4 linked regions of the Drosophila melanogaster genome follow. The protein of the gene in region 2 purifies or fractionates together with the protein of the main gene of each other region. This does not show direct contact. Each region holds a gene or a part of one and is shown on either strand. Other genes may lie near its edges.

Region 1 (6,951 bases), 8.1 Mb from region 2:
TAAATCCGAACTAGCCGCGCTTAAAAGTGCCTCATCGGCGGCGCCCGCTGCGGTTGCTCCTCCAGTTCCCGCCGAATCCGAGGCACTGCATCAGTGCAAAGCCCTGCTTGAGCAATTGCGGCAGGAGCATGCGAGAGAGCGAACTTGCCTCCAGGAACAGCTGCAAGCCACCACCGCACGGGCAGCTTCACTGGTCCGCAGCACGGAAAAAGCCAAGCACAGCAGAGATCGGCTTAAGGCTCGTCTGAGAATGGCGCTGCAGTGGGCCCAAAAGCTGGAGGCAGGGCAGGCTGAGGTGCGCGATACCTACGAGGCGGTACGCCGCCTGGAAGTACTTGTCCAGCACAAGGAGTCACAATTGCGCGGATTGCATGCCCGGAATGCAGAAGAAATGGACAAGTTGCGTCATAAGTTACAGCAGAAGGAGGAAACGATATGTGCGCTGCTTAGAGGCAAAATGGAGCGCAGACCGGCGGTGGATTAACGCGTAGAACATAGTTTTTAACAATTAAAAATATATAATTTCAATACAAAATACATTAATAACTTAGCGTAGAAAGCTTTTAAAGCACAGCAGTCCGGAATCAGCCGGACTCCACCTGTTCGGAGAGCGTCCTGTCCGCAGGCGCTCCCGATCCGGAGCCGGAGCCCGCGCACACCACACAGGCCTTGGGCACAGTCTGCTCTATGTACATGGTAATCCTTTCCCGTACCTCGGGAACCACGGAGCACATTACCTGCTCATATCGCTGGGATCCCAGCTGTGCCTGCAACGACTGCAGCTGCCACTTGAGATACTCGGTAAGGGGGATCTTGTAAACGGGATCTTTGAGCACCAACTGCCTGTGGCGGTCGTCGTGATAGGTCTTGGCCGGGTAGCCCTTGGTGTGAAATTCCTCGCTGACACCGCCGCCACTGCCCAGCTGCTGCTGCAGATCGTCCAGCTCGTGTTCGTCATGAATGACCAATGAATCATAGAAGCGAGGCGTGGCCTGTGACGCACCCTCCTCGGTGGCGGCGTACTGCTTGTCCATCACTTCGCCCAACGTTTCGTCCACCAGCTGCAGGATATGTGGCAGGCGAGCAAGCAGCAGCTCATTGCTTCCAAAGATCGAGGCGAAGGCCAGGCAGAAGAGCTTTCTCTTCTCTGCGTGCGTGTCGGGAACCATTGGGAACATCTCGATCCAAACGTCCAGGATGCGGGCCAAAGCGTCCGCTTGTGGCAATTGCTGTACCACCGACATGAAAACAGACTGGTCAATGAGCAGGGTGCGGGCCACGATGGTCAGATACCATCCCATTGTCATGGGATACTCCTGCTTAAGGCACACCTGCTGGAAGACAAAGGGCAGTGCTGGGCGCACCAGCCGCAGTCCCAACGCCGCGTCCGTTTTCAGGCATGTCTCGATGATCCGCAGCATGGCAATTATTCCCTCCACACGTATGTCCTCGAAAGAGCGCACGCAGTAGGCCACGAAACCCTCACCGTAACGACTCAGATAGGCCTGAGCGTCCAGCAGTATATAGGCATGAATCAGCTGCAGCACGGTGCGCAGGTTCTCCGATGACATCTCGATAATAGGCAGAAGGTGGTCGCACAGACCAAGTAGTTCGGGTGTCAGTGCAGTCGAGTTCCCAATCACCGCCAGCCAGAGCATGATACCATCTTCGATGAGGTAGACGTGCGAGGGTTGCTGTGCGAAAAAAAGTTAGGTATTGTTACTCATTGCGGTTTCATAAAATGCTATATTTTAGCTTAGTTACAGATAAGATTGTTGTGAAAGAATGAATGCTAAACCATTAAAAATAATCAGTACAGCCAGTGTTGACCTCAAGATGAAATCGCTGTGGATTGCTAGTTTCGCCTTTCTGGTTTGTCTAACACCAAAACTAAGAGCCCAGTTTATTGATCCCAATTGCGGAACTACCATCAATCTTCCGCCCACGAATAGAATCGTTGGAGGTAGAACTGCAGATATAGGATCTAATCCGTGGTTGGCCTACTTGCACAAAAACTCGTCTTTAGTTTGTACAGGCACATTGATCACAAAAAGTTTGTACCTTCGGAAATTTGTGATTTACGAATTGTATTTTTAACAATGATTTTCCTAGGGTTTGTACTCACCGCAGCGCACTGCCTGCACAGCTTCCATTTGTTGTTAGTATAAAGTATAAGCTCGTATTTGATTTTTAAACTAAATTAATTCTAAAACACAGAACGGTTCGCCTTGGGGAATACGACACATCGACACGCATCGATTGTACATCTGAGTTCTGTATTCCGACGTATGAGGAGTACAGCGTAGAGAACGCCTACATCCATACATTCTTCGGTGGAAGACAAGACAGTCGCAACGACATTGGATTGCTTAAACTAAATGGAACCGTCGTTTACAAATGTTAGATGCCATCATATGTATCAATTTAGTTTATCCCCAATTTTATATTGCTCTACGGATGAACGGATCTACTAAGCGGTGTGCATTACAGTTACTTTACTATTATTCTCATTTGCAGTGTTCATTCGACCAATTTGTCTGTTCCGGGATCCAGGCCAAGTACCTTATAGTTCCACCTACGAGGCCGCTGGATGGGGTAAGATTGATCTAATCAACACCGCCACAGTTCTGCAAACAGTGAACCTGATCAGGCTTGACCAAAGCGACTGTGAGCGATCCCTGCGCACTTCGCTTTCATACGGTCAGTTCTGCGCTGGACAATGGCGGGCGGACACCTGTAGCGGTGACTCAGGCGGTCCGCTGTCGAGGAAAATGTCAAATGGCCGCATAACCCGCACCGTTCAGCTAGGTATTGTCAGCTATGGTCACTACTTGTGTCGAGGGCCAGGAGTCTACACATACGTTCCAAGTTTTACTAACTGGATACTCAGTATTACCCGCTGGACTCAAAACTGACTCAACTATGTAAAAATTCTTATTGTAAATAAATAAAAAAAAATGTATAGCATATGGAATTAAACATAAAAAATCACTCACCTGAAGATCCGTGCTCAGCTCGATCACGCTGTAGAGGAAGGGCTTCATGGGCTCTGGGACATCCCGTATCGTTCGAACCAGCTGCTCTAGGGTGCCAATGATGGCGCAGCGCAGAAGGTCGTGTTCCTCGCTCTCGCGCCACAGGAGGGGTAAATACGCAATGAACTGCAATGCCTGCGGCTCGATGTACTCGCTCATCTTCTCCACAAGTAGCGTCATCGTGCCCAGCACCACGATCTTGGTGTCGCACTCGCCGGCCTCATGGAGCAGCAAAAAGAGGGCCTCGAAGAGGGATGGAAAATACGGGTGGAACGCTTCCGGCATAAACTCAAAATCGTCGATCAACAGATTCAACGTCCTGGCAGCGGCCAACCTGGTGGGCATGTCCTCCTGCGGCCGGAGAAGATGCAGGCATGCTTCGTAAGCCAGCGGTCTCAGTTCTCTGGGCAACTGGACGCCAACCCAATGGCCTACCAGCCAGATGATGCGACGCCGTAGGATCCGAAAGTTCAGAGCTTCCACGCGCAGCTCCGCAAGCAATTGGGATGTCAGCCATGCGCCAAAGTCCAGCTTGTTAAAGAAATGAAAGGCTGCCTGGCCTACGGCATTGTAGATAGCGTCTTTCAGTAGAATGGCCTTCAGGTCAGATTCCGGGGTCAGCTGCAATTGCTGGGCACGCCTTACGAAACGGAGCACCTCCGGAATCATCACTTGCGAATGCTGAGTAAAACATGTGAAATAAAGGGTCTCCACGCTTGGCCTTAAGGCGTACTTCCAAGCATCACCACCGCCGTCGTCCTGGTCATAGCCCTCTGGATCCTGCTGCCACTCCTCCAGCTCCTGTTGAGTGAGCAGAAAATAGTGCGTCACGATCTTCTCACAGATGTAGGTCACTCGCTCCGCTGTGAAGAACTTGGCTTGGCTTTGAGCAGCGCTGGCTAACAGCTCATCCTCTATGTGAGCACCACCTTCGGGCGGAGCACTGATGCTATCGTTGCCGCTCAGCATGATACCTTTCAGCATGTTCAGCGCCTGTATGGCAAAGTTTTTAAAGTTAATGCGATCGCCGGCGTCGAAAATGAGGGCGGTGCCCTCGTGGAACACATAGTGGAAGCTGAACTCCAGGGCCACAGGAACGAACCTCGCAAAGGACACAGAATGCCGCTCCATCAGTTCATTGAGGGTCTTCATCATCTTAATCACAAAGCGCTCCAATTCGGTGAGTATCGTGGCAGTGCCTGGTGTGGCCGATCCCACTTTCAGTTCATAGCGCAGTTCGAGGCACTGTCGCAACCGCTGGAAAAGCTGCTCCACAAAGTTCATGTGATCCGTGGACTTGTACGGCTTGGCACAGCCGTAGACCACCAGCTTGCGCAGGGTTCTCATCACCACATACGCCCGTTGAAGGGCATTGAGGGCCATGGCCTCGTCCTTTCGCACGAGCTGCAAAAAGCGCGTCGTAAGTGGTGCCCAAATGTCCCACGCCAGATATCCAAATATCTGTAAGCCCAGCTCCTGGAAGGCACGCTGCTCGGCCATCAGACGCCGTGAGGCCAGGGCCTTGAGGACATAGTGTAGGACAATAAGAATTCGCTGCTGCAGGGCCGAATCCCCATCCGTACCGCAGGACTGCAGCTGCTTCATGAGTGTCGGCAGCAGATCCGGCCAAAATCGCGGGTAATCCGTGCGTGCCAGGCGACCCAGGAGCACGGCTACCTGCAGGGCTACCTGGGGCACTTCCTCTGCGTCGTAGTGACGCAGAAGTACTTCCCGGATCTGCTGCTTTTGCTCCGCGGGCAGTTCCTGCCGCGAATTGGGCCGCCAATAGCGCTCCACGCCATTCTTTAGGTAGACAGCCGCCATCCAGCGCACCTTCACCTCGGAGTCCTCCGTACTGGACACCACGTCGCCGCCGCCACCTCGTCGCATGCTCAGACGGGCAATCGTGGGAAAGAAGCCCGGCTGCTGCTCCCACTCGCGCAGCTGCGCCTCCGCCTTCTGGACAATCTCATGGCTCGGATTTGTGGCCGCCTGCAGTGTCTGGGCTACCAGCTGCTCCACCGACGCTCCAGCACCCGCTGCGGCTGCTCCAGATACTGCTCCCGTTGCCATTTCCATCACACGACGCCTCCTCTTGCGACGCTTGCGAGGACGAAAATTATTGGCAAATTTCTGCGGCGCGTGCTGCTTCTTGCTTGAATTTCAGTGTGACCGACCGCAAATGCTGGAAAATACTAAAACAGCAAATTTTAATATAAATAATTTTGCAAAAAATTTCAAATTTAAATTATTGTTTGTTAAGTTTTTGTTGAAATGGAATTTTAAAAGAAATTACAATACATTTAATAACAACTATTACTAAAATAGTATTTCTGAATATATAAGTAATTTTGCAAGCATTTAAACTTCTCGTTAAGTGGGCTTACAGTATATGAAATTTTTGATATTATTATTACTATTAACTTTATTAAATCAAATGGTTTTCATATCGCAGAACTTAAAACTTTTCAAAGAATTCTCTACGCCTTAACCATTTCCCCGATCCAGTCCAAGTATTCGAGAACATTGGTGTAGACATTTGAAGCGAAAGGCTCTAACCTGCCAAAGCTCGCCAGTCCGACCAGGCTGAATGCCCTCCTGTTTCCGTGGGTTAGAGGGTTTACCAAGGGACTGCCAATGCCCACGCGCAGGAGATGAGGAGAAGGGCTTTCCATGCACAACTGTTGCTCTCCGATGTCTTGGTGATCCTCCCGGTAGCACTTACTGGCATTTGTTCGCCGCACCACCACGTTAGTCGGCGTGCCCCAGCCAACGGCTATGAGATTCAGGGCGGGATCAGCAGCACGCCTTTGGAACTTCTGCTGCTCCGCTTTGTTGCTTAGCGAGGGCAGGCAGATCGGTCGAATCGATTCTAGCCGCATAAAATGAACACATTATGATTATGAAGCTAATCCGTATGGCCTTTGGAAGACACTCACCCGTGTACTGCACTTCCTCGCCCAGTTTAAGCAGAGCTATGTCGTTTTGGGCCAGGCTAACGAATTTGGGATGCTTGTGAACAGATGCGACAGCGTAGGTATGCACATCGCCTTGTCCCAGTTGAACCTTTCTAGATGTATGTACATACAATTGCACTCAGATTACTCAACTTTCTCCTCCCAAGGGATCAAAGTACTTACAATGCCGTACTTTCGGAAATCAACTGCGCCGTTGTCACCACGAAAGCTACAAGAAGAACACATTAGTAATCTTTTCGAATGAGGAAAGAAAAGATGACAACTTTTCGAAATAAGTGCGCCGTTTGAGATTATAAAGGAATCCTTGTAGACCTCAGCCAACCACTCGAAGGACCTGATCGCATCGGGACCACTTCTATCCCAGCTGTTCAACGTGTCGTTGCCCAGACACCCAGCATCGAGTAGGTCTATATAGGGTAGCACCACCTCAATGTCCGCATCCAGAACAATGCGCTCGATAAAGTCGATATGGCCCATTACATCGGTGTACATACCGAAACCTCTGCAATCTTCGGTGCCAGTGCTGACGATTCCCAACTGCGTTGCTCGCTTGATGCCATCGAACAACATATGTATGTACAAGGGTCCACCGGAGTCCCTTTTGCAGGTATCTCTGCCTACCGCGGTGCCGGCACAGAACATTGGGTAATCAAAAGTGTACCAAAATGCTGCCTCGCACATTTTCCTATCTATTCTGTAGATCTTGACCATTTGAAGATTGTTACTCATCTTCCCATTGCCCGTTACGCCCCAGCCGATTGCTGTGAACTCCTGGATGAGATCCGTTTGCGGCTTGAGTTGGTCGTTCAGTAAAATACATAACGGTTTGATTTGTGGCTTGTAAACGATACTTTTTTGCAACCTAAGAAGCGCTATGTCATTGCGATAGTTTTGTATCGCGAAGGAATCGTGGATGTAGACCCTCTCCACGTTGTATA
Region 2 (7,171 bases):
GGCAGCTATTTGCAGCAGTACGTTCTGCTTCTGGGTTTTGGACTGCGTTTTTGGTGCGGTGGGCGCTGGCTGGGCAGGCTTCTTCTTTTTCTTCTTCGATGTCTGACTTGGGTTTTGGGAAGCTATGCCGACTGGTTGGGACGCGTTTTTGGATGGAGCTGGCGATTTCGAAGGCTGCTGCTGTCGCTGAGGCGCTTTTTGCTGCATTTTCAGGCCTGCATTGATATCTTTATTCGGCGCCTGAGACTTCTTCGTTTTGGCCTTCTTTTTGTTTTGGCCCGCTGGCGCAGGTTGTGTGACTACCATTGTCTCCTCCGTGGCTTTTACTTTGGCGCGCTTTCGGCTCTTCTCCAGAGCCAACATTGTCTTGTGATGGCAAACATCGCAGTCCACGGCCTGCAAAATGAATTGGGTTGTGGTTAGAGTGGCAGGAATGGGTCCATATGTACACACACAAAACACTGTATAAAGATCTTTCAGCTTCCTTGGTGTTAATTTAAATTATTATTTGCCCAGAAGCTTGATACATAAATTTATATTGCGCTTATAAGGTACTAAACTATCCATCTATACCATTCATCCATGGAAGCAAAGAGATATTATATTTATATTTATGAAATTAAAGAAATAAAAGTATTTTTTCCCACAATCTAGACATATTCTAGACATTCTATTAGCTCCTGGTTCTCACCATGTTACTGGCCATACGCTTCTTGAGCCACTTGGCCCGTTTCCTGGCCCCGCTGTTCATCTCGCCCTTTGCCATCTTGCCCTTCACGGCTTCCAGCTTGGTGATCAGTCTCCGGTTCTTAGCACTCTGCATCAGTTCTTGTGGCTGGAGGTGGAGCTGGTAGCGGCCACCTGTCCACTGGTTCCCGCAGCGGGAGCACATGCGTGCGGGTCCAAAGCTCTCCTCGGGCAACTGGACATTGTGCCGGGCCAGCTTCCTACAGGTGGTTCTGGGTTGTTTTGGAAACGAAATTTTAGTGGGTGCTTAAGGAATTGACAACGGATCTCACATGTAATAGGATTTGAGGATCCGTTCTGTGTGGGTTTGGTCGGTCAGCTTGGAGGCACAGTTCCACAGCAAATTTACTGTTTTTTGGTCACTCATGGCGGACGCTGACAATTTACTGAAAAAACAAATTCTATATATTTAAGCGTAATTATTTCCAGAAATGTTTTCCTACATTAATTAACGAAACCCCAACAGAAAAGCCAAACTTAAAGAGGTAGCCTAAATAGAGGAAACATGCCAAAATTCTAGCCAAAACATACAGCACTGACGGCACAACGTGTGCAGCTCACCAGAGAAATCAAAGGTGCATTTCAAGCCTAATTCCAGGTTCTTAACTTACCAGCTATGCGTGATAAATATTGAAAGTGATACGTGGTAAATTACGGTTGGATATTCATATTATAACATCAATAAAAACCCTTTTTGATAACGCTTTAAGAAAAATAAACAGCTGTCGGCCGAAATTAAACCGGTAAATATGTGTGATTGGTGAACCGGTTTAACCATTGATGTGCGACAGAGCTGCCACCCTGCCAAATACGACAAAGTGGCAGCCCTTGGCAACTCACCACTGGCATTTTCTCCCCAATTTCGGTATTTCGTCGTGGTCAGTTGAGGGTCCTATGGCATTTGCGCGTCGTTTTGAAATTATTCAACACATCTGAAAAGCCAACCGCCGAAACGAGCAGAAGCGACGCGCAGAATTTCGAATGCAAACGGACGCGCAACCCGCCAGTGAAAAACAAACATCAAATATCGCCAACGTGGAGTGTCGAGCAGTACAGTGAATTCAATAGCATAGTGCGCGCAATCACAACTCGCATTTGCATTTGCAGCTGCAGCAACAACAATGGACCCGTTTACTCAGGTACGAGGCCAATTCGCACACAGCAAAGCCCTTTGTCTGGTGATTGCACTGGTGTTAGTGAAGGCACCCGCGGATTTTCACTGCTATTTCCCATTTTCCCTTGCAGCACATGCTCGAGAAGGCGGAACAGCGCAGTCGCGCCCTTGGCATCAGCAATGCCAGCAAATTTCCGCTCGTCGAGTGCAGCGTTCCAAGCTCCTCCGCCACCTCCGCATCCGGCGGGGATGCTGGGGTCCTGGCACCGAGGAGCCGGTCGCCTGGAGGCCAGAGCGCGGCTAGCGGCGGCGGCAAGGTCGTTACGTTGGGAAAGGCCACGCTGGAGGCGTCGCCGGCGAAGCCGCTGCGTCACTATACGGCGGTAAACAAGGAAAACTTGGATATGGGCATAGAGATAAACATAACCACGGACAAGCCAATTGGGGTAAGTTTTCCCGTTCTTTTCTGGGTTCTTCCCTTTTGCTCATCCTTGCTGCACTACCTTCAGGTGCAAGTTGAGATTCAGGAGCAGGAGGTGACAGATGACGAAGAGCAGGCGGAAGGAGGTGCGCTAAATCCCCTGCTGGAGGCGGAACCAGTAAACCAGCCCCTAGCCAGGCTAAGGGACACTTCCCGCAGCCGACTGCAACGCATGGGTGCCCTGTACTCAAACACGGACGATCTATCCTCCCCAATCCACCGAACCGAGGGGCAGTTCCATGTGACAACGGGTGAGGAAGAGGACTGCGGCAACCGTAGCAGCAGGCAACCAAAACAACGGTTGGGCAAACTGGCCGCCTTGGCGGATACCATCAATCAGTGGGAGGATGACACGTCGCACCACGAAGTGCACAGACTGCTCGAAGCACCTCCACCGAAACCGCATTTGTCCAGTCGAAGGGCCGAGAAGGGTCCAGCTCCACTGCCACCCAAGAAGGATGAAGTCGACGAGGCAAGCAGGACCAAGCAGCTGAAGTGGGATCCCAAGGTATTGAGCTCTCTGGAGGCACAAGGTTTTCAGCGCCGCGAATCATCGACCATTAAACACACATATGATTATGCCAAACAGGAAGAGGCGGCCCCAGCCTCCAAAGTGGAAGATGCGGTATTAACTGCCAAGCCGCCAGTGCCGCAGAAATCAACGACGGTCAGCCAGGTCGCCAAGAACTTTGCATCTTCCGCCCCAGCGCCTAAGCCCGCACCAGCGCCTGCTGTTAGTGTGAAGTCCGGCTTGGTTTCCGGACGGGCGGCTCTCTTTGAAAACAAGGGAACCGGAGGACAGTCGCAAGGCCTACGCAACCAGAAGGATCCTTGTGAGCTGTCGCTGAAGGAGCGGATGAAGCTGTTCGAAACGGGCAACAACAAAGCGATGTTGCCGATGGCGCCAATAGGATCTGCTCCCAGTATTACCCAAATCCGAGCGGAAGAGGTGAAACGTGAGTTTGGCAGCCCTTCTATATTCATAATAGCTACTCATACTCATTTTTTTTTTGTTAACAGAACATTTAGCTGCAATGCATCCGGTGACTGCTGCCGCAGCTACTACCGTGGTTGCAGCAACCAAGCCGAAACAGGAAAACAAGCTGCGTGACAAGGTGGCCGCTTTGGTGGCAAATGCGCAATCAAGTGCAGAGACGCGTATCAAGGACATTGATCGCCAAAGGCAGGAAGACATGCAGATTATTTCTAATCGCTTTAACAAACAAAAGGAGCTCTTTGACAATCAACCATCCGATAGTTCTGTGGCTGCTCAAGCTCGACCTCCCGCGCCAGCTCCCAGCAGAGTAGTGCGGCCCATGCCACCGCCTCCACCACCGCCCATCGCTGCTCTCTCGCCCGGACTGGCCAGCAGCAAGAGGCGATCACGTAAGAAATGACTAAACCCTTTATCTAAGGACTTGTCCTTATACATCCGCAATTTCAGCTGGTGATGCGCCCACCACTGACGAGGATTCGAAGCGAGCCCGCAAATCGCATTCGGATCGTCTGTATCCCGCCCTGTCCGACCTCGACTCCAGCGGTGACAACTGCTGCGCCGCCGAAACTGCCTCCGCTACGGATGACAGCCATCAACAGGACGAGGAGGAAACCGAAAGGTGCGCTGAAAAATGCTATTCCTGCTTGCTATTTCTGCTCTGCATCGAGTAGCATTCCAAGACTGATAGGCCTAAGAGACATAGCTTTAAACCCCATCCCCTAGACAAGACCAACAATAAAATCGCTTTCTTAACTAACCGTTTATCTTTGATTCGTGCAGTTGCATGGATGAGTCCGACGACCAGTCACAGACTGAGGACAGTAGCGCCGGCATGTGCAATGGCAGTCTTGGCCGCGAGATAATGAGCGCAGTGCAGCGCAACGAAGTGGAGATGCAGCAGCAGCAGACGGGCAAGAAGGTAAGTGCAGGTAAAAACTGTCAACACAGCGGGTGGTCACCATTAACACGATTTCACACCTTTCCAGACTGTGCGCTATGCGGACCAGGACATGTATTACGATGACAGCTCTCTGAACTCGTCGCAGGTCTCAGCGGGCATCGATGATTATCTGGATGAAGCACTTGTCGAGGACTACGGCAGCACTCAGGATGACCAGAGCGACAGCGGGGACGAGCAAAATGCCAGTCGGCTGTCCTTGGGCGTGAGTACTTGCTGATTAAGTTTCCTCGTATATCAAAACAATTCTTTAATTACATTTTCAGAGCAAAGGAACGACGGCCTCAAACAGCTTTTCCTTCCGAAAAAATCCTGCCTCTATTTGCACGCCTATCGAAGAGCACCATGAGATGGAGATGGACCTGCAGACGCCACTGCTCAGTGGTGCCCAGCCGGTCAAGTCTGAATTGAGTGTCAACCAGGACAACGACAACCTGGTTACCCTGGTGCACACGGTCAGCTTCTATCGCCGCCAACAGAGCGCTAACGTGAGTTGATTACTTATATATCACAACTAACAAATTCTAAGTACTCGTTGTTTATAGAGCTCCAATTCCACACCGGTTCGCAAGATCTGTCGAGAGCAGCAGGTCATGCGATCAGCCCTAGCAGGCGATTGTCATGCCAAGCACAGACTGGAGTACGACTCTCCTCAGCAGTCTGATTATGTCGCAGCAGCAACTGACATAGCTGATCAGACCGACGAGGACGATGAAGAGATGCAGAATGCGCGGGAAGTAAACGATGCATCGCAGGCACAAGACAAGATCAAAAAGCTGTTGAGCGAGGTGTGCAAGCAGCAGCAGGTGATAGGACAAGCCAGTCAGGCCCTCAACCTTTGTGCTGCCACCGTAGAATTCTCCGGCTCCACAGAGTCCGTGGAGGGAGAGCGATATCTCCTTCTTGCAAGTAAGTGTGATCTTCAGTGTATTCAAGTATAAATTGCCTGTTCGTTGAATTCCAAACCGAATTGGCAATTTGAATGTCCAATTAAGCTGAACATCTCTTTAATATCCTTGCAGCCCATCGACGCCAGGCGTGTTTGGATGAAGTCCAGCGTTTAAGAGTTGAGAACAGTATTCGTCCGGTGGGTGCACCAAAAGAAAAGGGCCTACTGACGGTCAAGGACATAACCATTCCACTGCGACAGGAGTACGTGCGTAAAATGGCCTCGAACAACATTAACGGCCATCATCTTGTGTGCCTCCTGAAGTACAATGAGCACGTGCTGGCCACCAAGACAGTACCCACGATGCCAGGGCTGCTGTCTGTCAAGTTTCCCGATGTCCTGCAACTAAACAATGTATATGCTGACTTCAGGGTAAATATTGCTTTTTGCTTCTTTAGCCAATATTCGATTTTATTGCGAAAACTTCGTCTGCAGATCACGCTAGAAATCTATGGCATGTTGGCCCAACGCGATCAGCTGCCTCACGAGCTGAAATACCACATCAACTTGAACAAGAAGGGTGGCATCAAGACGCCAAAGAAGAAGGGCGGCGAGAATCGACTGGTGATGCCGCCAGTACAAAGTCCGGCGGGACCGCATGTGGTACGGACACCGCAGCTGGTGCAATACGGCTTTGCCATTTTCTCGCTGCGTGAAATTCAACGCACCACATGGACGCTGACCCAGGTGCTGGGCGTCAGTCCACTGGAGGGTGTGGTTCACATGAAAGTCAATTGCGAACTATCCGTAAGCGTGGAGTACAAGGGATTCCTTACCATGTTCGAAGACATCTCCGGTTTCGGGGCATGGCATCGTCGTTGGTGCTATCTGAATGGCTCCGTGATCAACTACTGGAAGTACCCGGATGATGAGAAGCGCAAGACGCCAATGGGTAGTATAGATCTGAATTCCTGCACTTCGCAGAAGGTGACCACGGCACCGCGCGACATTTGCGCCCGTCTCAACACCATGCTGCTGGAGTGCGAACGGCCGGCGCTGGAGACAGACCAAGAGTCCTTGATAATCGTACCCAACGGACGTACCACCACGGTGCGCCATCTGCTCTCAGCCGACACAAAGGAGGAGCGCGAGGAGTGGTGCGCCTACCTTAACAAGGCACTGACACTGCTGCGCGCCTGGGGAACCACCCACTGACCCGCTGACCCATTGCAATTTTGTCAGCAGCACGGACAATGACCACAAACGGGCGGGTTGTTAACAGTTTTCTCTTTTTAAGTTACTCAATTTGCTATTTTAATCGTGTTCGCATTGGTATTAATTTTGTTTTATGTTTCCAATTCAAATTTTTCGTTTCCATCTTGGAGTGGGACACGTTCGTGTTCGTCTATATCGACATAACTTTTTACTTATGTACATTTAATTTAGGATGACTCGCTAAATATATATGTGTAAACCCCCGTAAAAAGAACTAACGCCAATTGTACACTGATTATTTAATATAGTTTATTGAATACTTTTATACACGTAGTACACATTTACATTCACATATGTATATCGTTTTGCAAGAACTCGTGGCTAAGAAGAAATCGCTACGTGGCTTCCGCGTGTTAACTATCTTTTTATCTCTGACCATCCGGAATCTAACAACAAGTGAAAGTTAAAGCTTGCGTGTTATCACGACGCCGGCTGTTCTAGTGCCCATCTCGGCTTCGGCACCAGGTTTTCTGTACTGTGTAGGTGGTTCATGTCAGGTAGTCAGTGTGTCTGCTCCTTGGCCATCTCAATTGACTCTGGGTGGAAGATTGTAACTTCCTTGCGTTTGTCACTTGGCCTAAAGGTCGGCCTAAAGGCTATCTACAAAAGTGGATTACGCATTGCCGCCGGCGGAGTGTTCAGTGTGGGTTCCTCTAGTTCACAACACTATCAAATGTATAGATATATATTTCTCGTATAGGTATATATGT
Region 3 (4,587 bases), on a different chromosome or scaffold from region 2:
ACAAAAAACAAACACAAAGGGGTATCTTGCTTTTTGCCAACGGATACACCCACTTTCATGGACTATTCTCTACGTTGAACACGGTTAATTGCTTTCGTTTGGGTTACGGAGCACTGGACTCCGTGATTGCGTCGAATTCGCTGCGGTGATTCTATTATTGCGTTTTTAATTTGTTCTATAATTTTTGCAGCCTGCAGTGAATGAGTGGGTAACAGTGTGACCAGGTGGCAAGCACAAGACAAGTAAAATAAGGCCGTACTACACTTACGTCCTACGAAAAGCCCGCCAATCTTGAAATTCAAATTACCATGTTTTTGTATTTAAAAAGCGGAGCTTAAAAGAAATTCAAGGAAAATATAAACTTAATATGTATTGATACATATCAATCAGTGACTTCTAAGGAAACCAGGATAATCTTAGATAAAATGTTATTTTGTTGTCTTTATCCAGCGGTGCCTTCAATACACACTTAAAAACACATTATATCGACAAAAGTTTACAATTTTTTGAATACAAGTTTCCGGCAAACAGCTCTTTTCTACTTTGTTAAAATACTAAGTTCGATTTATTCGTTAGTTGTAAATACATAATCATTATATGCCTGCGTACATATGCGTGTAGTTGTGTATATGTTAATATTTGAAGTAAACTTAATAGTACAAATGAAAGACAACGAGATGAGAAAGCAATAATTACTTTGGGATAAGCGAACCGCACAGAATTCTCAATACATTGTGAGGCGGCGGCGCCGGATTCTACTTCTTCTTGCTCTTGCCGAGGGTGAGCGTGTGGTGGGCGGTGGCCAACTGCTGCTTGCGCCGCTGGAAGTCAAGGTAGTCCTCCTCGAGCGCCTTGCGCGACTCTTCCAGCTTGCGCTTCTCCTCGGCGTGATCCCGCTTTAGCTTCTCGAACTTGGCGTGCAGGTCCTTCTCGCTCTCCTTCAGCTCGGCCTCCTTCTCCTTAACGCGCTGCACGAACATCTGACGAACCTCCTCCTCCTTGGACTGCAGCTCGGCCAAATGGTTGGAGCGCTTTGCCTCGAACGTCTGCTGGAACGAGATGGGCTTGTTGTCGCTGTCCACATCGCTGAAGCCCATTTGCTCCAGCCTCTTCTGGCGATACAGCTCGTAGTGGCGCGTGTGTGTCTTTTCGCGCATATCCTCCATGTTGGTGCGAATGAGCATCTCGCGCAGCTTCACAAAGTCGCAGTGCGTCTCGTTCTCCACCTGCACCGTGCCCCAGGGGTACTGGCGAGCGCGGATGAGCTTGTTGCCCACCTTAATAAACTCCGTGCTGCCCACCACGGCGAAGGGAATGTGCGAGTTCATGCTGGTGTTGGTCTCGGCCACCGTCTCATCGTCGGTGGGGAACTGGTAGATGTGCACTCCATTGGCGTTTAGCTCCTGAATGATCTTCGCCTTGAAGCGCTGTAGCTCAACCTTGGAAATGGTATCCGCCTTGGCAATCACCGGAATTATGTTCACCTTGCTGTCCAGCTTCTTCATGCACACCAGGTCCAGCGATTTGAGGCCGTGCCCAGTGGGGCAAATAAAGTAGAGGCAGATGTGGATGCGGCTGTCGTGGCATGTCACCAGCGATCGCTTGATCTTCAGCTCCTCCTGCAGATAGTTCTCGAACTGTGCGTCGATGTAGTCCACCACCGCCTTGAACGAGTCGTCCTTGTTGATCTGATCGCCGTAGCCAACCGTGTCGCAGATGGTGAGCTTGAGTCGCACATTGCTCTCCTGCAGCTCGTAGGTGTGTGCCTTCAACTTGACGCTCGGCAAAGTGTGGGGACTCGGCGTGGACTCGAAGCTGGTGTTGAACAGCGTGTCCATCAGCGTCGACTTGCCCAGTCCGGTTTCGCCTGCGGAGCGTAAAGATTTCGAAATGCGGGTCAGATTTGTGCCAGATTTGGGGAACCTTAGCCTAAGTGAGCTCAATTGGCCATAGAAGCACTGCGGCATTGGTGTCAGGGTGAAATTGTAGAAAGTGGCGGAGGCAATCGATTGCCGGCCACTTTGCATACTAATCGTATCTGGGCGTCTGGTTATTTCAATTGTTTACCCGCTTTTATGTACCTAAGTGATTCACTTTATCTGAGCAATGCACTCCAACATGAGACACTTGAGTACATAGCACAGCGGTGTTCAAAACAATAGCATCTTTATTTCAAGATGTGCTGTGCAATAGTCTTTGCTTTCAATAAATAATTGTATTTCTAATATGATTTTACTGATTTTACTCGTATTAAAGTTTAACAAATAAAAAGCACACACCTCGGTTTTTATTTCATTCTCTCTGCATCGAGCTACCACTGTATGTCCAATTTCTAATTGGTGTGCAAACAAAGCCATCTTTGAGTTAAGAAGCAACAAAAGTTTGAAACCTTCTCCAAGTGACTCCTTTATGGAATATAAAAAATCAGTGCTATTGCTTTGGTCACCACTGTTTTGTATGCAAGCAAAACTTCGGTTGATTCACTGTGCCGCATACACACGCACACACGCAAAGTTCACCCGCATATACACACCTATACACATGACGTTGAAGACGAATCCATTCTGGACACTCTTGTTGACCAGTTGGTCAGGCAAGCTGTCGAATCCCACGTGACCGGACTGCTTCAGGGTGCGGAGGTGCACCTCCTTCTTGTCGACGAAATCCACCTCAACGGACATTTTCCAATAGTCAAGTCAAATAATCCAATAATCCGGGCGCAGAGTTTGGATCAAAGGCGTCGCCAGCGAATATGCAAGTGTGGCCAGATACGCGGAGCCCAAAATACCAGCGGCTCAAAGAAGTGTGTGGATATAGATGAACAAGAAAATTATAACTTAACAAAGAATTAAAAAACAATTATTTAATGAATTACATGTGCCATAATGGCAAATAGTGAAACGAAATTGATAATCAAACAGTGAAATGCACTTCATGGATTAAGATTTTAGTACACATCATTTAGCGTTTCAGTTTTTAATAACTAATAATAAAATGTCCCATTCATAGATATTTATGCATAAGTTATTAATTAAATGTAAATAGTTTAAAAAATTAAATGTCTTAACTGTTTCCGCCATCTGGCATCTCTGGTTGCACACAGAAGCGATCTGGCAGGTCCGCATTGCTGATGTGTCTACAGCTGTAAAAACTTGCATGTTAAACGGAAAGTCGAAAGTTTAAGTCAGTGAATAAAATATATATTACCACCCACTAACGTGCTGAGCAAACAGGATGTCAAAGGACGCTAATCCCAAGGAGGCGCTCATAAAGGCGGCTTACGCTGATGTGAATAAGTTCGGCAATAACCAGGAGTTTGACAAGGCTGTCAAGGCAGTGAATCGCAGTAAGTTTTTCAGATTACCGAGGTTATAATCCAGAAGATGACTCCCTATGATCTCTCATAGTCCTAGGCGTAGCGCCCGACGATCCCACCGCCCTGCACTGCAAGGTAGTCTGCCTGGTGCAGCTTTCCAAGTTCGAGGAGGCCTACAAGTTTATTGAGAAAAATCGACTGTCCTCGCTTTTCTTTGAGAAGGCCTACTGCGAGTACCAACTTAACAAGCAGCAGCAAGCGCTTAAGACCATAGACGATGCGGGTCTGCAGCCCCTGCCTCCGAACCTTAAGGAGCTCCGAACCCAGGTCCTGTACCGCTTGGAGCGCTACGATGAGTGCCTAGACTCCTATCGCGACATCATTAAGAACACCAGTGACGAGTACGAGGAAGAGCGTCGGACCAATCTCAGCGCCGTGGCCGCCAACTTGGCTGTGGATCAGACCAAGGAGGTGCCCGAGGTGCCGGAAGACACCTACGAGCAGTACTTCAACAGCGCGTGCATCCAGGCTAATCGGCAGAAGTATGCTGAAGCCGAGCGCAAGTTGCGCACCAGCGAGAAGCTCTGTCTTGAGGATGAGTGTGCCTCCGAGGAGGAGATCATTGAAGAGGTAGACGTCATTCGCGTCCAACTGGCCTATGTCCTCCAACTGCAGGGCAAGACCAAGGAGGCGTCCAGCATCTACGCGGACTGCCTGCGTCATAAGCCAAAGGACGCAGCCCTGGTGGCCGTGGCAAGCAACAACTTGGTGGTGGTCAATAAGGACCAGAACGTCTTCGATTCCAAGAAGAAGATACGCGCTGCCCTAGCCGACGCCTGTGAGTCTAGGCTCACCTCGCGCCAGAAGCAGGTCATAGCCCTCAACAACTGTCTGCTAGCACTTTACACTAATGCCGGCGACCAAGTGCAACAGCTTAGCCAAAAGCTAGCTCAGACCTACCCGCAGGTGGAATTCGAGGCGCTGCTCATTCGCTGCACCCAGCTGGCCAAAGATCGCAAGCACAAGGAGGCCATCGAGCAGCTACAAAAGTTCGCTGCAGCCCACAAGTCGCACGAATTCGTCAGCAAATTTGCCATCATACAACTTCAGCTGCTTCAGGTAAGTTGCCATAAGTCGTAAGTCGAAAATGGAATCTTATTTTTTGTATTTCGTTGCTTTAGGGCAACCGCAAGGATGCAATTGAAACACTGCTGTCATTGGGCGAAGCCAAGTACAAGCCTGGCGTTGTCTCCGCTCTAGTATCCCTTTAT
Region 4 (5,319 bases), 650 kb from region 2:
AGCACACATGATGGGCTGGGTCGAATCCATATCATTGATTCCATTGATTGGTGACCCATGCCAGCTGATGTAACGGTCACTTGGTGGATCAGCTGCTCCTAAGCCAACATTTGCACTAAACTGTCCTTGCTCTCGTGCCAAGAATTGGCACAGCTGCCGACTCCATTCTCCCGGCTGCATCCCCCGCCACTTCTTCGAGCCACGAGAACAATGGACTTGGCCCGGACAATGGTCGGCGCTAAGAAATAGTGACTTTTCAGGGGCGCACGGGTTTTCCTCTGGCTTCTAGCGGGCCCTAATTGCTGGCAAGCATCTTACATAATATTGAAGAAGATGCGTCTCCGAATGGATTTCGTATGGAGTGTGCCTGATGCGAAACAGCTGCTCAAGATCTCAAAACTATGAACACGAGGAAGGGTTGCGGGGAGATTAGGTGGGATTTGTTCGCTGTAAAGATTTGCGGTTGCAGTTGCGGTGGCACATTTCAAGACCTAACATCTGTCGTAAAAAACATCTAGTTTCGAAGCCCCCAGCCAAAAATGAAATGTATTTAGCATTGATGAATACGATAATAGAAAATCAACTTTTTAGTGCTATAAAAAAGTAGTGCTATAAAAAAGTACGAAAGTACATACGCGTATGTTTTTAATCGTTAAAGATGCACCCAAAAAAGCAATATAAAATTAGTTTAAGGAAGCTAAAGTAAATATACATATAAATAGACTTAATGAATAAAATCGACTTTCTCCTTATATTTTGGGTTAATCAAATGGTTTCGGATGGTCATAAATGTTAAATGTATTAATAAAGCTTAAAATAAAGTTTGATAAAGAATGAAAAAGAATTCATTAAATAACTTTTTAGAACAAAAAATATGTATTGAGATCATAAAATGCAATCGACAATCAAATTAGTAAGAATAACAAGAAACAAGGGGATCTCTAGCCACAAAATTCCACAGAACTTCCCTCGATTTACCTTTTCCCTTGACGACAACAACTGTAAATCCTCCAATAAGTACAGTCATCCCCTAGGGTAAAAATCGAGCCACCGCGAGTCATATCAATTCATAAATGCATATTAATTCCGATAGAGGCTAAAATTAAAACAGGAGTCGCTTTGGAATAATGTGAGAAAAAAACTTTCTCACGATCACCTTGTTGTCGCGCAGACGGCGTTTGGTGGAAATCCACGTGCAAAAGGGGGAAGTTCGGAAGCAAGGAAGGCTGGATGGTAGGAAGGAAGGAAACCACCACCACCAAGCAGGCGGAGTAGGACGCAGGACCCTCTTAATGGTGGTGGTTAGTACCTCCCTCTCCCCCTCCCCCTCTACCAGTGACGATCGCCAGAAGTGCATGAGAATTTAAATTACAAACAAACCGAAACGCAGAGCGCACAATCAACGGGCTTTGTCCGTGTGCGTGTATGCATCGGCATGCGATGACGCGTAGAGGGTGGGGTAGAGAGGGTGCCAGGACGAGGCGTGTGTGGGAACTTTCGACGAGGACACTCGAGCATGAAGCGGGTCAAACGACAGAGGCCAGTTATTATCCAGCTCCTTTTTATGGCACTTCTCACACGCCCACAAGGGGCGTTAGTTAGCTCACTAACCTCTTTCCAAACAGAGTCGAATGGAATTATAGCAAGTGTGAGAGAGAAGCGAAAGTCGAGTTCTCAGCGTCACAATAACAACACCCACGCGACAGAAGCATCTTTAGTTCTCAGCGAGAGAGATAAGCTCAGCTTCCTCTTCTTCTTTCTCTGCTCCTTCTGCTGCTCTCACGGGCATGCGCAACATTGCAACAAAAATTAAAGGGAACCCGTAACCACAAAAGTCATGGGCGTAGTGAACAATTTTATTTAAAAACCCGTTATGGTGTACCATAGAAATTAATTCCCTATAAAAATGGACAAACATAAACTGAAAATGTTTTAAAATAAATATAGTTCGATATGTAGTCAAAAAACCCCTCAGTAATCCACCCCTGCTTAAGGCAAAAGTCAAAGTCATCTAGACGGATAATTTCTTCCTGTGCATCAGCGGGCGATTGTAATGCGATCCGTGGCCACTCCAGTGCAGTCATTCAGGCCAGAAATCTGGAATCCCAAGTGCTGGGACACATGAATGCGTTTCATTGCCTATTTTTAAACATAACATTCCATTTCAAGTGATAAGGCCACCAGAAAATAGTTCTCTTTGCCCGTTTGCATGTGCATTGCTGCGGCAGTATGGGTGCGTGTATCTCTGTGTGTATGTGTCGCATTACTCATGCGCTCTCACTCCAAGCGTCGTTTGGTATATTCGCGGCTCTCGTCCGGTATTTTCCAGGGTCACACTGCGCCTGAGCTGGGGCGTTGTTGTTGCCTGCGAGAGCGGAGCAGAAGTATTTATCGCGTTGCAGCGCACGGTCCTACTGACACAGAAAATGCAAGAAAAGTAAGAGCGTAAAAGAGCTGGCGTAGGCGTGACAAAAGCGGTGAAAAAGCAACGGTTCTGTGCAAGCAAAGTGAATAAATACAGTGAAGCCCACCTGCGAACGAATATCGAAGGCTCAAAGGCGAATTTGGCGCTATTCCAATGAATAGTCCTCGCTCGAACGCGGTTAATGGCGGCAGCGGCGGCGCCATCTCCGCTCTGCCCAGCACTCTGGCCCAACTGGCTCTGCGCGACAAGCAGCAGGCTGCGTCGGCATCGGCGTCCTCTGCCACGAACGGCAGCAGCGGCAGCGAGTCCTTGGTGGGCGTCGGTGGACGACCGCCCAATCAGCCGCCCAGTGTGCCAGTGGCCGCCAGTGGCAAGCTGGACACCAGCGGCGGAGGCGCCTCCAACGGCGACTCGAACAAACTGACCCACGATCTGCAGGAGAAGGAGCACCAGCAGGCGCAGAAGCCACAGAAGCCACCGCTCCCGGTGCGCCAGAAGCCCATGGAGATCGCCGGCTATGTGGGCTTCGCCAACCTGCCCAATCAGGTCTATCGCAAGGCCGTCAAGCGGGGATTCGAGTTCACTCTGATGGTGGTGGGCGCCAGTGGGCTGGGCAAGTCGACGCTGATCAACTCCATGTTCCTGTCGGACATCTACAACGCGGAACAGTATCCGGGCCCCTCGCTGCGCAAAAAGAAGACCGTGGCCGTGGAGGCCACCAAAGTAATGCTCAAGGAGAACGGCGTCAATCTGACACTCACGGTGGTGGACACACCCGGATTCGGTGATGCCGTTGACAACAGCAACTGCTGGGTGCCCATACTGGAGTACGTGGATAGCAAGTACGAGGAGTACCTGACAGCCGAGTCGCGGGTGTACCGAAAAACCATTTCGGACAGCCGGGTGCACTGCTGCCTCTACTTCATAGCGCCATCGGGACACGGACTCCTGCCGCTGGACATTGCCTGCATGCAGAGCCTGTCGGACAAGGTAAATCTGGTGCCGGTGATCGCCAAGGCGGACACCATGACGCCCGACGAGGTGCATCTATTTAAGAAGCAGATCCTTAACGAGATCGCCCAGCACAAGATCAAGATCTACGACTTCCCCGCCACGCTGGAGGATGCGGCCGAGGAGGCCAAAACCACGCAGAATTTGCGCAGCCGAGTGCCATTCGCGGTGGTGGGTGCCAACACCATCATCGAGCAGGACGGAAAGAAGGTCCGGGGTAGGCGTTATCCCTGGGGCCTGGTGGAGGTGGAGAACCTGACGCATTGCGACTTTATAGCGCTGCGCAACATGGTCATACGCACGCACCTTCAGGACCTCAAGGACGTGACGAACAACGTCCACTACGAGAACTACCGCTGCCGGAAGCTATCCGAGCTGGGATTGGTGGACGGCAAGGCCAGGCTGTCCAACAAGAACCCACTCACCCAGATGGAGGAGGAAAAGCGGGAGCACGAGCAGAAGATGAAGAAGATGGAGGCCGAGATGGAGCAGGTGTTTGACATGAAGGTCAAGGAGAAGATGCAGAAGCTCAGGGACTCGGAGCTGGAGCTGGCGCGGCGCCACGAGGAGCGCAAGAAGGCGCTGGAGCTGCAGATCCGGGAGCTGGAGGAGAAGAGACGCGAGTTCGAGCGCGAGAAGAAGGAGTGGGAGGATGTCAACCACGTGACGCTCGAGGAGCTCAAGCGACGCAGCCTGGGGGCCAACAGCAGCACGGACAATGTGGATGGCAAGAAGGAGAAGAAAAAGAAGGGTCTGTTCTAAGTCAACACGCTCAAAACCCCCATTCCCCAAACCCCCTTCCGCTCCTCGTATACTTAAGCGCTAATCTCGAGAACAAAGCAAATGAAAACCCTAGCGTATCCTACTCTTATTCCTACCACATAAAGTAATTCGAAAAGTGCATAAATATATCTATTGTTGGGCCCAGCCGCCCCACAAGGCTTCTATTCGCACAGCAATCGTCCAGCGACGGCGTTGCATTTGTTTTCTACATACTATACAAGTACATATAACACATAGCAGTTGCAGTATTTTACCAATATATATCCACGCATTACTTGACGAAACACATTTGCTAGCCTAATGAATTGAACACGCAAACGAATTAAATCGAGACAGTAACAAACGGTATTTGCAAAATACTTAAGTATCTTAAAGCCTAATCATAATAAAAACTAAGCAGAATGTACGAGTGCGAGGCGAAATTGATCCTAAAATTAATTATAACGAATAACGAATCCATGTATAACGTATGCTATTGATATTGTAATTGTATTTTACCTATTATGCATAAAGTCATTGAACACCCGAACACACACCAGCAAGGCAAAAGCCGCAAGCGCAGCAGAAAACATCAAGAAACAAAATATACTCTTGCATTTTATAAAATAAAGTCTTCTCCTTAGTTTAACTACATAAAAGCTGAAAAGCATTCCATATTAAATTCGTTGTTTACTCAACTGCAGCGGAACGGGTCCGCTTGGCACACGTCTGGGTATGATAGGCATGACGATGGATATGGCGATTTGGATATGACGATTACATTCTCAATATCTTAGTTAACCATGAGCTAATGGATGAGTCATTCCGCAGGAGCATTGACTGGGAACGTGGCTCGAGTCAAGCGGATAGGTAAATCACTCGCCGCAAACAATTAAAAGTGTTTACCTCTCACACTGCTATGTATGTATGTATGTATGTGTGATGCTTATTGGACCAGTGAAAACTAACGCGAACCGTTGGTGCCACCTAAAAGTATCATGCTTTTCGTTTCCTAAGAAATACCCTTTATGCAGTTCTTGCCCATATGTGCGACTCAAGCAATTACGAAAAGCCTGACACTCCCTATAAGTCAGTACATGTACATATACAATCTTTCGCCT

What was found.
Region 1: the proteins of scra (region 2) and Impbeta11 purify together in Drosophila melanogaster (affinity purification with western blotting, with the first as the bait; one study listed by BioGRID). This does not show direct contact.
Region 3: the proteins of scra (region 2) and Septin2 purify together in Drosophila melanogaster (affinity purification with western blotting; 2 studies listed by BioGRID, with this or other methods). This does not show direct contact.
Region 4: the proteins of scra (region 2) and pnut purify together in Drosophila melanogaster (affinity purification with western blotting; 3 studies listed by BioGRID, with this or other methods). This does not show direct contact.

The regions. Positions count from the first base shown.
Region 1 is NT_033778.4:15,680,968-15,687,918, reverse strand, and holds Impbeta11 (importin beta11), read right to left. Parts: upstream 5,201-6,951; 5' UTR 5,115-5,200; coding exon 2,997-5,114; exon of another isoform or gene 2,986-2,996; intron 2,916-2,985; coding exon of another isoform or gene 2,518-2,915; intron 2,400-2,517; coding exon of another isoform or gene 2,218-2,399; intron 2,159-2,217; coding exon of another isoform or gene 2,113-2,158; intron 2,054-2,112; coding exon of another isoform or gene 1,837-2,053; intron 1,695-1,836; coding exon 585-1,694; 3' UTR 504-584; downstream 1-503. Other genes in the region: Cep89 (centrosomal protein 89kDa), read left to right, coding at 1-484; CG30082 (uncharacterized protein), read left to right, coding at 1,837-2,053, 2,113-2,158, 2,218-2,399, 2,518-2,915; CG30091 (uncharacterized protein), read right to left, coding at 5,516-5,907, 5,975-6,105, 6,176-6,221, 6,277-6,951.
Region 2 is NT_033778.4:7,588,576-7,595,746, forward strand, and holds scra (scraps), read left to right. Parts: upstream 1-1,543; 5' UTR 1,544-1,868; coding exon 1,869-1,886; intron 1,887-1,992; coding exon 1,993-2,307; intron 2,308-2,370; coding exon 2,371-3,298; intron 3,299-3,362; coding exon 3,363-3,728; intron 3,729-3,786; coding exon 3,787-3,958; coding exon of another isoform or gene 3,959-4,010; exon of another isoform or gene 4,011-4,094; intron 4,095-4,119; coding exon 4,120-4,258; intron 4,259-4,325; coding exon 4,326-4,502; intron 4,503-4,563; coding exon 4,564-4,785; intron 4,786-4,842; coding exon 4,843-5,206; intron 5,207-5,319; coding exon 5,320-5,618; intron 5,619-5,681; coding exon 5,682-6,401; 3' UTR 6,402-6,667; downstream 6,668-7,171. Other genes in the region: CG1360 (uncharacterized protein), read right to left, coding at 1-396, 692-959, 1,020-1,114. UniProt on the Drosophila melanogaster protein: Required for cytokinesis. Essential for the structural integrity of the cleavage furrow and for completion of cleavage furrow ingression and proper formation of the midbody.
Region 3 is NT_033777.3:20,585,591-20,590,177, forward strand, and holds Septin2 (septin 2), read right to left. Parts: upstream 2,767-4,587; 5' UTR 2,682-2,766; coding exon 2,534-2,681; exon of another isoform or gene 2,413-2,533; intron 2,406-2,412; exon of another isoform or gene 2,280-2,405; intron 1,868-2,279; coding exon 756-1,867; 3' UTR 539-755; downstream 1-538. Other genes in the region: Srp72 (signal recognition particle 72), read left to right, coding at 3,235-3,346, 3,408-4,435, 4,498-4,587. UniProt on the Drosophila melanogaster protein: Involved in cytokinesis.
Region 4 is NT_033778.4:8,235,479-8,240,797, forward strand, and holds pnut (peanut), read left to right. Parts: upstream 1-1,792; 5' UTR 1,793-2,578; coding exon 2,579-4,198; 3' UTR 4,199-4,819; downstream 4,820-5,319. UniProt on the Drosophila melanogaster protein: Involved in cytokinesis and possibly cellularization. Also acts as an enhancer of the sina gene, thus having a role in photoreceptor development. May be involved in p53-dependent apoptosis.